Linked DNA regions of Ovis aries. The protein of the gene in region 2 purifies or fractionates together with the protein of the main gene of each other region. This does not show direct contact. Links are inferred from orthologs where the notes say so. Each region holds a gene or a part of one and is shown on either strand. Other genes may lie near its edges. The genes, in order: HNRNPU and TAF15.

The links.
Region 1: the proteins of TAF15 (region 2) and HNRNPU purify together in Homo sapiens (affinity purification with mass spectrometry; 3 studies listed by BioGRID, with this or other methods). This does not show direct contact. The link is inferred for Ovis aries from reciprocal best matches to the Homo sapiens genes TAF15 and HNRNPU.

Annotation. Positions count from the first base shown.
Region 1 is NC_056065.1:31,686,971-31,691,240, reverse strand, and holds the start of HNRNPU (heterogeneous nuclear ribonucleoprotein U), read right to left. Parts: upstream 3,033-4,270; 5' UTR 2,799-3,032; coding exon 2,108-2,798; intron 1,271-2,107; coding exon 1,159-1,270; intron 1,078-1,158; coding exon 1,004-1,077; intron 1-1,003. UniProt on the Homo sapiens protein: DNA- and RNA-binding protein involved in several cellular processes such as nuclear chromatin organization, telomere-length regulation, transcription, mRNA alternative splicing and stability, Xist-mediated transcriptional silencing and mitotic cell progression.
Region 2 is NC_056064.1:14,274,529-14,277,732, forward strand, and holds part of TAF15 (TATA-binding protein-associated factor 2N), read right to left. Parts: intron 3,046-3,204; coding exon 2,916-3,045; intron 1,023-2,915; coding exon 930-1,022; intron 335-929; coding exon 253-334; intron 137-252; coding exon 1-136. UniProt on the Homo sapiens protein: RNA and ssDNA-binding protein that may play specific roles during transcription initiation at distinct promoters. Binds to ssRNA containing the consensus sequence 5'-AGGUAA-3'. Can enter the preinitiation complex together with the RNA polymerase II (Pol II).

The DNA.
Region 1 (4,270 bases), on a different chromosome or scaffold from region 2:
GCTCGCCAACTATAAGCAACTAAACATAAAACATTCAACTACTCTTCCATATACAGTTCAAAATAAAAGATTCCACTACATTGACTATATGTAAACAGTATGTAGTAAAGAGACTTACATTTACACTACCATACACATCTAAATAAAATAGGTATTCCAAAACAGGAGAATCTAAGATTCAACTCCTTAGATCTACAGGACAGGATGACACCTTACCTCTAGGCAATTATTTCTACCCTTTTTTCTGTTTATCACAAAATTGTACTTTCTGATCAAAATACTAAATCAATGATTTTGTATGTGAGAAAAATGAGGAATCTGACTGCCAAGGCCCATTTAGAGGTTTGCAATACTTCCTCATACTCAATTGCAACCCAACTGGGTAAAGTAGCAGTATTTACAGCGCTGCCATTGATACCATTCGCTGCTGAAGAAAGCTAGTGGCCCAGTGATAGCCCACTGCTGCTGCCCCAGGTCTTTGGAAGAAACCAACTTAGGTTAAAGCAGCAGCTACTGAACTGGAATTGAGAACAAAAGAGCAGTTATTGAGAAAGTAATATTACAATCTTTCAGAATAGGGAATATAGTGATGTGCTAATGGGAAAGTCATTAATAAATACTTAACTAGCCCAAGTAGCTCACTTAACATAATTCCACAAAAAAAAAAAAAAAAACCACATTACTTTTACTGTAGACCCTACAGGGAGAAATTATAGGTAGTCTTACAAGTTTCCATTAGCTACACAGTCAAATATTGGCATTCATTTCACATTCCTACAAATGAGAATTTTAATATCATACCAAAAAATTATCAAATTGCTGGAGCCTCTAAAACTATCAATATAACTGCTGGACTAAATTAAGTGACCAGAATCTGAATAAAAGCCACCATCTTTCCAATTTTAAAAGAACCCTTTATACGCATTAAGTTTTCTAACATTTTGTAACCAAAAACCATATTTGATAACTAAGGGAGGAACGGGGAAGAAACAGCTTCACTTACAAGTATCAAGACAAACCACTGTGTCGTCGAAGTGTTCATCTTCTTCTTCAACAGGTGGCTGAGGAGATTTGGCTCTGAAAAGACAGAATTGTCTCCTGATACAACCTTCCCCAAAGAATAATGAACAGGTGCCAAAACTAGGTTAGCATCTCTACCTGCTATACTTGTTCTCTTCAATGTACTCAAAATAGCCACGGCCATGATCTTCTCGAGGTCTTTTAACACCTCTCTTTTTATCTCCGCCTTTCTGTTCTGTTTTGCCGTCTCCTACAACACATGACACCGCTGTATAAGACACCACGGCACGCCGCCACAACAAGCAGAAAACCCCTTTCTTGTCGGAGGTTCCCTAAAACTCGACTTGTACATTGTGATTTCAATCAACGACTCAACTGCGAATTCAAACAACAATCTCCTTGGAATCGGCTTGGATTCAGTGACGCAGTCTAAGGACATTGCTAATTTTGCCAGTTCACTCGAATATTCCAGAAAGCACATGAAAATTTAGCGCGGCCCAGGCCCGGAGCCCACGTGTACCCCAGAGAGTGTTCAGGAAAGGGGGAGGGGCCGAAGCGCCCCGCTCGCCCTCCCCTCCCCCCAGCCGGGCCCGCGCTCCCCGCGGCCGCATTGTACTGCTCGCCGCGGGCGCCGCCCGACCCCGCCCCGCCCGCCGGAAGTGACGTCACCCGAGCCCGGCGCGCCTTGCACAATACCGCGGCCCGGAGCCGCCACGGCGCGCCGCCGGGGCCCCGGGCCTCCCCTCCCCCCGAGACATGTGCCCGCACCGCGCGCACGCAGCGCGACGGCGCCTCCGCGGCTCCTCCCCCTCCAGCGGCAGCTGCAGCCTCCCCCCTCCCCACCCCGGCTCTCCAGGCACATAATGGAGGCGCCGCCACCGCCGTCACACACCGAGCCGAGGCCTCACGCCTAACCCGGGATTCCCCGCGCCCCGCCCGCCCCCCTCCAGCAGTCCCCAGCCCCCGAGGGTGCTCCCTCCCGCGGCGGGTTTCCTCCCTCCCCCCCTGCGGGGCTCCGGCAGGCCTGGGCACGGTCCCCACCCCGCGCGGGCCTCCCGCCGCGCGCAACCAACCACGCAGCACTCACCCGCCGCCGGAGCCCCGGGGCGACCGCCGCCTCCGCCGCCTTCCGCCTTCTTCTTACCTCCCGCCTGCTGCTGGCCCTGCCTCGCCCCGGGCGGCGCCACCGTCACCGCGAACAGCGACGTGGGGCCGCTGCTCTTCCCCGCGGCCTCCTTGGCGGCCCCGCGCTGCTGCTGGGGTTGTTGCTGCGGCGCCGCCGGCGGTTGAGGCTGCTGCTCCCCGTGCCCGTTCTCGTCGCCCGCGCCTTCCTCCTCTTCGCCGAGCTCATCCTCCCCTTCCTGGAAGCCCTGGTCGTCGCCGTTCTCGTCCTCCGAGGCGGCCTCTTCCTCCTCCATCGGGCCCGAGTCGGCCGCCCCCGCGGCGCCGTTCTCCTCGCCGAGCTCCATCTGGTCGCCATCCAAGGCGGCGATCCCTTCCTCCTCCTCCTCCTCTTCCTCCTCGTCGTCGTCGCCGCCGGCCGCGGCCTCCTGCTCGAGGCCTGCTCCCGAGCGCCCGGCGGAATCCCCGCCCAGGTCTAGGCTGCCGTTCCCGGGCTCCATGGCGGGGCGGCCCCCGGCCTCCTCGTCGTCCAGCGCGGCCTGGAGACGCTCCATGAGCTCGGCCTTGAGGCCCTTGTCGGACAGGCGCCGCTTCTTGAGCTCCTCCTTCAGCTCCGACACCTTCAGCTTTTTCACATTAACAGGCGAGGAACTCATGGTGAGGCCCCGATTCACCGCTAGGCGCTGGCTCAAACTCGGCTCCGCTCACTCGGCCACTGGCGGCGGCTGCGGCTGCTCCTCGGCCCGGGCGGCGGCTGCGGCTGCGGCTGGAGGTGGGTTCGTGCTGCAGAGCGGATCCGCCTGGTGTCGAACGGCGCCAATTCCTTTCACCGAGTTCGCGAGGGAGACGCGGAGACTCGCCTGGCGCGAGCGAGCACGCAACGTCCTCTCGCAGGGGCGGCACCGCGCACGTAATATAGCCGCCCCGCCTCTGCGCCGGCAGAGCGCCCGCGCTCGCCCCACCCCGCCCCGCCCGAGCGGCGGGCCGGGAGCGCGGCGCCGCGCACTGCGCTTCCAATTGGGGCCCAGCTAATGGAGGAGGTGGAAACCGCCTTCAGTTAAACCGACCCGCTGCAGCCTCTATTGGCCTTTCCAGCCCTTTGGTGGCAATATTCGTTTATGTTCTTTGCCTTCCGGCCAGGAGGCTGCTTCTACCCAAATGCTTTCATCTTCAACTTGGTAATTTCAGCTGGAATCCGCCACCTCTTCTTCCATTTTAGATTTATCTTATCTGTTTCTCCAGCTATTTGCTTAGAACCCTTAAAATTTTGATTTGATTTGTACAAGCTGACAGTCATTATACGCAGGAGATTTTCTTCTGCTTAATAATTGGTTTAATTTTCCTGAATCCTAACTTGGGAGTTGAATTTTAGACTCAGGAAGGGCCTTTCTTTTGTCTCTCCCATGACCTCTGATGCAGGGTTTGGGAGATCATGCTTATTTTTGAAGAGTGGCCTCCACTCCATACTGCAAAGCGGACTTTACAGGCCTTGTTATGGTACTAATGGCCAAAGAAGTTAGCCTCAGAATTGCATTTCTGTGTTTTCTTTACATCTACCAAGAAGACAGACCTCCTGTAAGGTTTATTCTGTCCAATTTAGGACCTGGTCATGCAGTTATGAAGTCCCCTTAACTAACAATGAGGATAAGACCCCAGCTAGGTCACACACTTTGATTCTATTCCTGTGGATATACTTTTGACAAAATTATGCCAAAGCTCTAATAAAAGCTAATGAAAAAAAAAAAGGCTGTGATTTTGTGAAAAGAAAAATATCACTCTCAAAGAAAAATGTGATTTTGGTGTGTCTTAGAAGTTTAATTTTTCCTTTTACTAAATTAAGAGGTGTGTTAATGTTCTTCCAGTTTTCCAGAATTTAGATATGTGATAGACATGAATGTCTCAAACCCCAGAGAATCTGCACAGTGGCTAGCCAGTGGTCTAGTCTAGTCTAAGCTCAACTATATTGCTTCGTGCTTTAGCTGGCACAAGGCTGTCCCAATTTTAATTCAAAATTTAGAAAAATACACACTTAACTTTCTCCCATAGTACAGTTTAATAAATTTTATTTTTTAAGTTCTCTTCAATGGCTTTTAAGAATCTTGTATTTTACAGTGCTGTCATAGATGAA
Region 2 (3,204 bases):
AATGCTAGCCAGAAGATCAGAAGCAGATGCCGTTAAGGCTGACCCACCTCCTCCTGAGGGACGAGAGTCCTCTGGTCTGGGCTCATTGCACTGATTACAAGAATTCCTTCGAGCAAAGTTCATATTTCCACATGACCTAAGAAAGAAAGAAAATAAAATGCTCAACAGTTTCCAATGGATTCAGAACCCCCTCCTGCACCTTGCAAATCCAATCCCAACCCCTACATCCACCAAAGTAAATAGGATACTTACGGATTAGGGCAAACCCAGTCCCCACTTTTGGGGTCTCCACCTCTCCCCTGAAAGCCTCCACGACCTCTATATCCTCCACGGCCTGGGATAAGTAAGGAGGAGGGAAGAATCAGTAGCAGATATTAACAAAGCAGAGGAAAAGCATCAGGTGAAAGAACTAAGTGTTCATCAATAACTGGGCAGCTCCCCCCAGATTAACCTCTTATGGAAGAACTCCATGATTCTTTGATTTGGGGCTTTACTTATTCAGTCAATGCAGTAAATATGGAAGAAGCTCCAAGGTGCACATTATAGTTCAAATAATGCACTAAGAAACTTCTTTCTACAGTACCCTCCTCAGTTTGAGAATCTCAGTGATAAAGATTAGGTGAGATGACATATTCCAAATTTAAGAAATTAAAACACAACAGAAATAAACAAGTTGGCACTAACTGTATCAGGGAACTCACATTGGGCCAGATTAACTACCAAATTAGGTATCAGTTAAACAACTGCCTCCTAATTTCCAACTGAAACAAACTGCATTATATAGCTTTCCAAAGGGATTTCTAGAACCTTTTTCCATCCTTTCTTAGTTATGACACTTTATTTACCTAATCTTCTATTCTGTATCTCACTTTAAGACAGAAAATCTAAACCCTCTGTGTAATACCCAAGCCTGTGAACAAGAATCTTACCTCGTCGCCCACCTCCACTTCCACCTCCTCTCATGAATTCAGGTCTTCTGGTGGCAAAGGACACCTTAATGATATTGCCGTGGAATTCTTTTCCTAAAGGAAAAAAATGAAAATAGTTTTGAAGAAATGCTACTCCACATTTCCACCTCTTAACAAAATATAAAACTGCCTCGGAAATGTTTAATTTCAGAGAAATGCCTCACATGTTCTCACAGAAATTCACACAGCAACGCTCAAGAGTCAAGGTGACTATCCTAGAACATGACACAATCTACTGCATAGGACAGATCTGCCCCTGGGAGACAGCCATTCCTTACTGAGCAAAAAAGCTCACGTCTAGCCATTTTCACCTGAAAGCCAATGAACGTAGTATGCTACCATTCCTTTTTTTAAGGGAATGAGTGTGTATGCGTGTGTGCGCACGTGCGTGCGTGCATATGCACACATATGCCTATTTACACACTGCCTATTGTTGCTTAACTCTCAGTAGGTGAAAAGCTAGAAAGGAAGCTCATTTTTTACTATATACTGTTGGTACCACGTCTGAAGTAGTATCTTAAAAAATAATGTGTGCATTTGTGATTATACACATGTACATATATACATATTCTGCTGTCCCAGGGCCTTGGAGACAAAAATTAGCCTTTTCACTCTATATATTAAACAAGAGAACAGACATATCAGAAAAAGGTGCCCAAGGAATTCATAAAATAGTTATAAATCTAGGAGCCTTAGCCCTCTCAGCAAACTCTAACTGCTATGACTGGCAACCTTCCACAGTTGTCAAATGGTATAGCAAGCTCTTTGACATAGGAAACAAACCATGGATAAATATTTTAAAAGCTCTGCAAAGACCTGGTAATTAAGATCTGAACTATGGAGTTTCTGTTAAGAGGCTCATTTGCCCTATGAGGGAAAGACAGAGAAAGTGTTCTAACATATTATAAGCTAAATAGTTGTATGAGTCACAGAAACTACTAAACAAACACATAGTGAGGGAGGATGGACCTGGCCTTTCAAGGGCGAGGGGATAAGATCTGCTTAGAGCAAAAAATCAAAATGCAACTATGCATTGGAAGACAGGTGCAATAATCTTGGAACTGCAAGAAACCACATGTGCCTCTCAATCAGGCGCAATTTACTTCTTCAGAGAGAATGCAGCCCGACTGCCTGAGTTTGAGCCCTAACTCTACACTTCTTCTGTGGTCCTGGAAATTAACTTATCTTCTCTGTGCCCGAGTTTCATCATCTGTAAGATGGTAATAAAAGCAATAAAAAAAAAAGTAACAGTTACTATGAAGATCTGAGTTAATGCACATACAGTTCTTAGAACTATGCCTAGCTCATAAACTACAGTAAACACGCAGTGTTATTCTCCTGCACTGGCAGGTGGGTTCTTCACCACTAGTGCCACCTGGGAAGCCCCATTACAAGGTACAACAAAAACAATAAATTTACAACATGGGGAAATGACTATAAGACATCAAGGAAATAAAAGCATGAGACAAAATTACTTTTGGAGTAGAATGATAAAACTATTTTAAAAATACATTTTAAAGAGCTGGAAGAAACACCAGTAGTTTTCTCTGTGTAGACTATGGAAGCTTTACTCCTTTCTTCTACTTTTTAATATTTTCTTATTTTCAGGGGAAAAAAGTCTTATTGTACTAGTCTTCTACTACATATCAACATTGCATTTGAAGGGAAATTAACCTAAATTTTAAAAGAATATAGTCAACCAGGCCAACCCTTTACATTTCTATGAGGGTGGCCTGAAGCACAAAGGATGACATTAGGAAATATTTTAGACAAAGAAACAGTTCATCTCACTTCTAAAGGTATACAAGAATTCTGGCCTGTATTCTCAATAGGATATTTAAAAAAGTAAAGAGCAAGATAATCACTGTCTACCAGAACATATTTTGACTTCTAGACCAGAAAACATTTATCAAAACCACACACTGAAAGTATATGAATGAGGTATACCATCAAACCAGTCAATGGCTGCCTTAGCTGAAGGAGGGTCATCAAACGATACTGTTGCCTCCCCTTTTGGCTTTCCTGTGTCCTTGTCTGTGTATAGATTTATCATTGGTTTTCCAGTCTTTTTATTTGTCTGAGGGACGAACAAGCTGGTGTTAGTATTTTAAGAAAAAGTGATGAACCACTCAGATAATTAAAATTCCTTATTTTTTAAAGGAATCCACATATCCATACTATAAATACTACCAACATAAAAATGAAGTTATCTGTAGGTTCTGAAAAGGAAAATTCT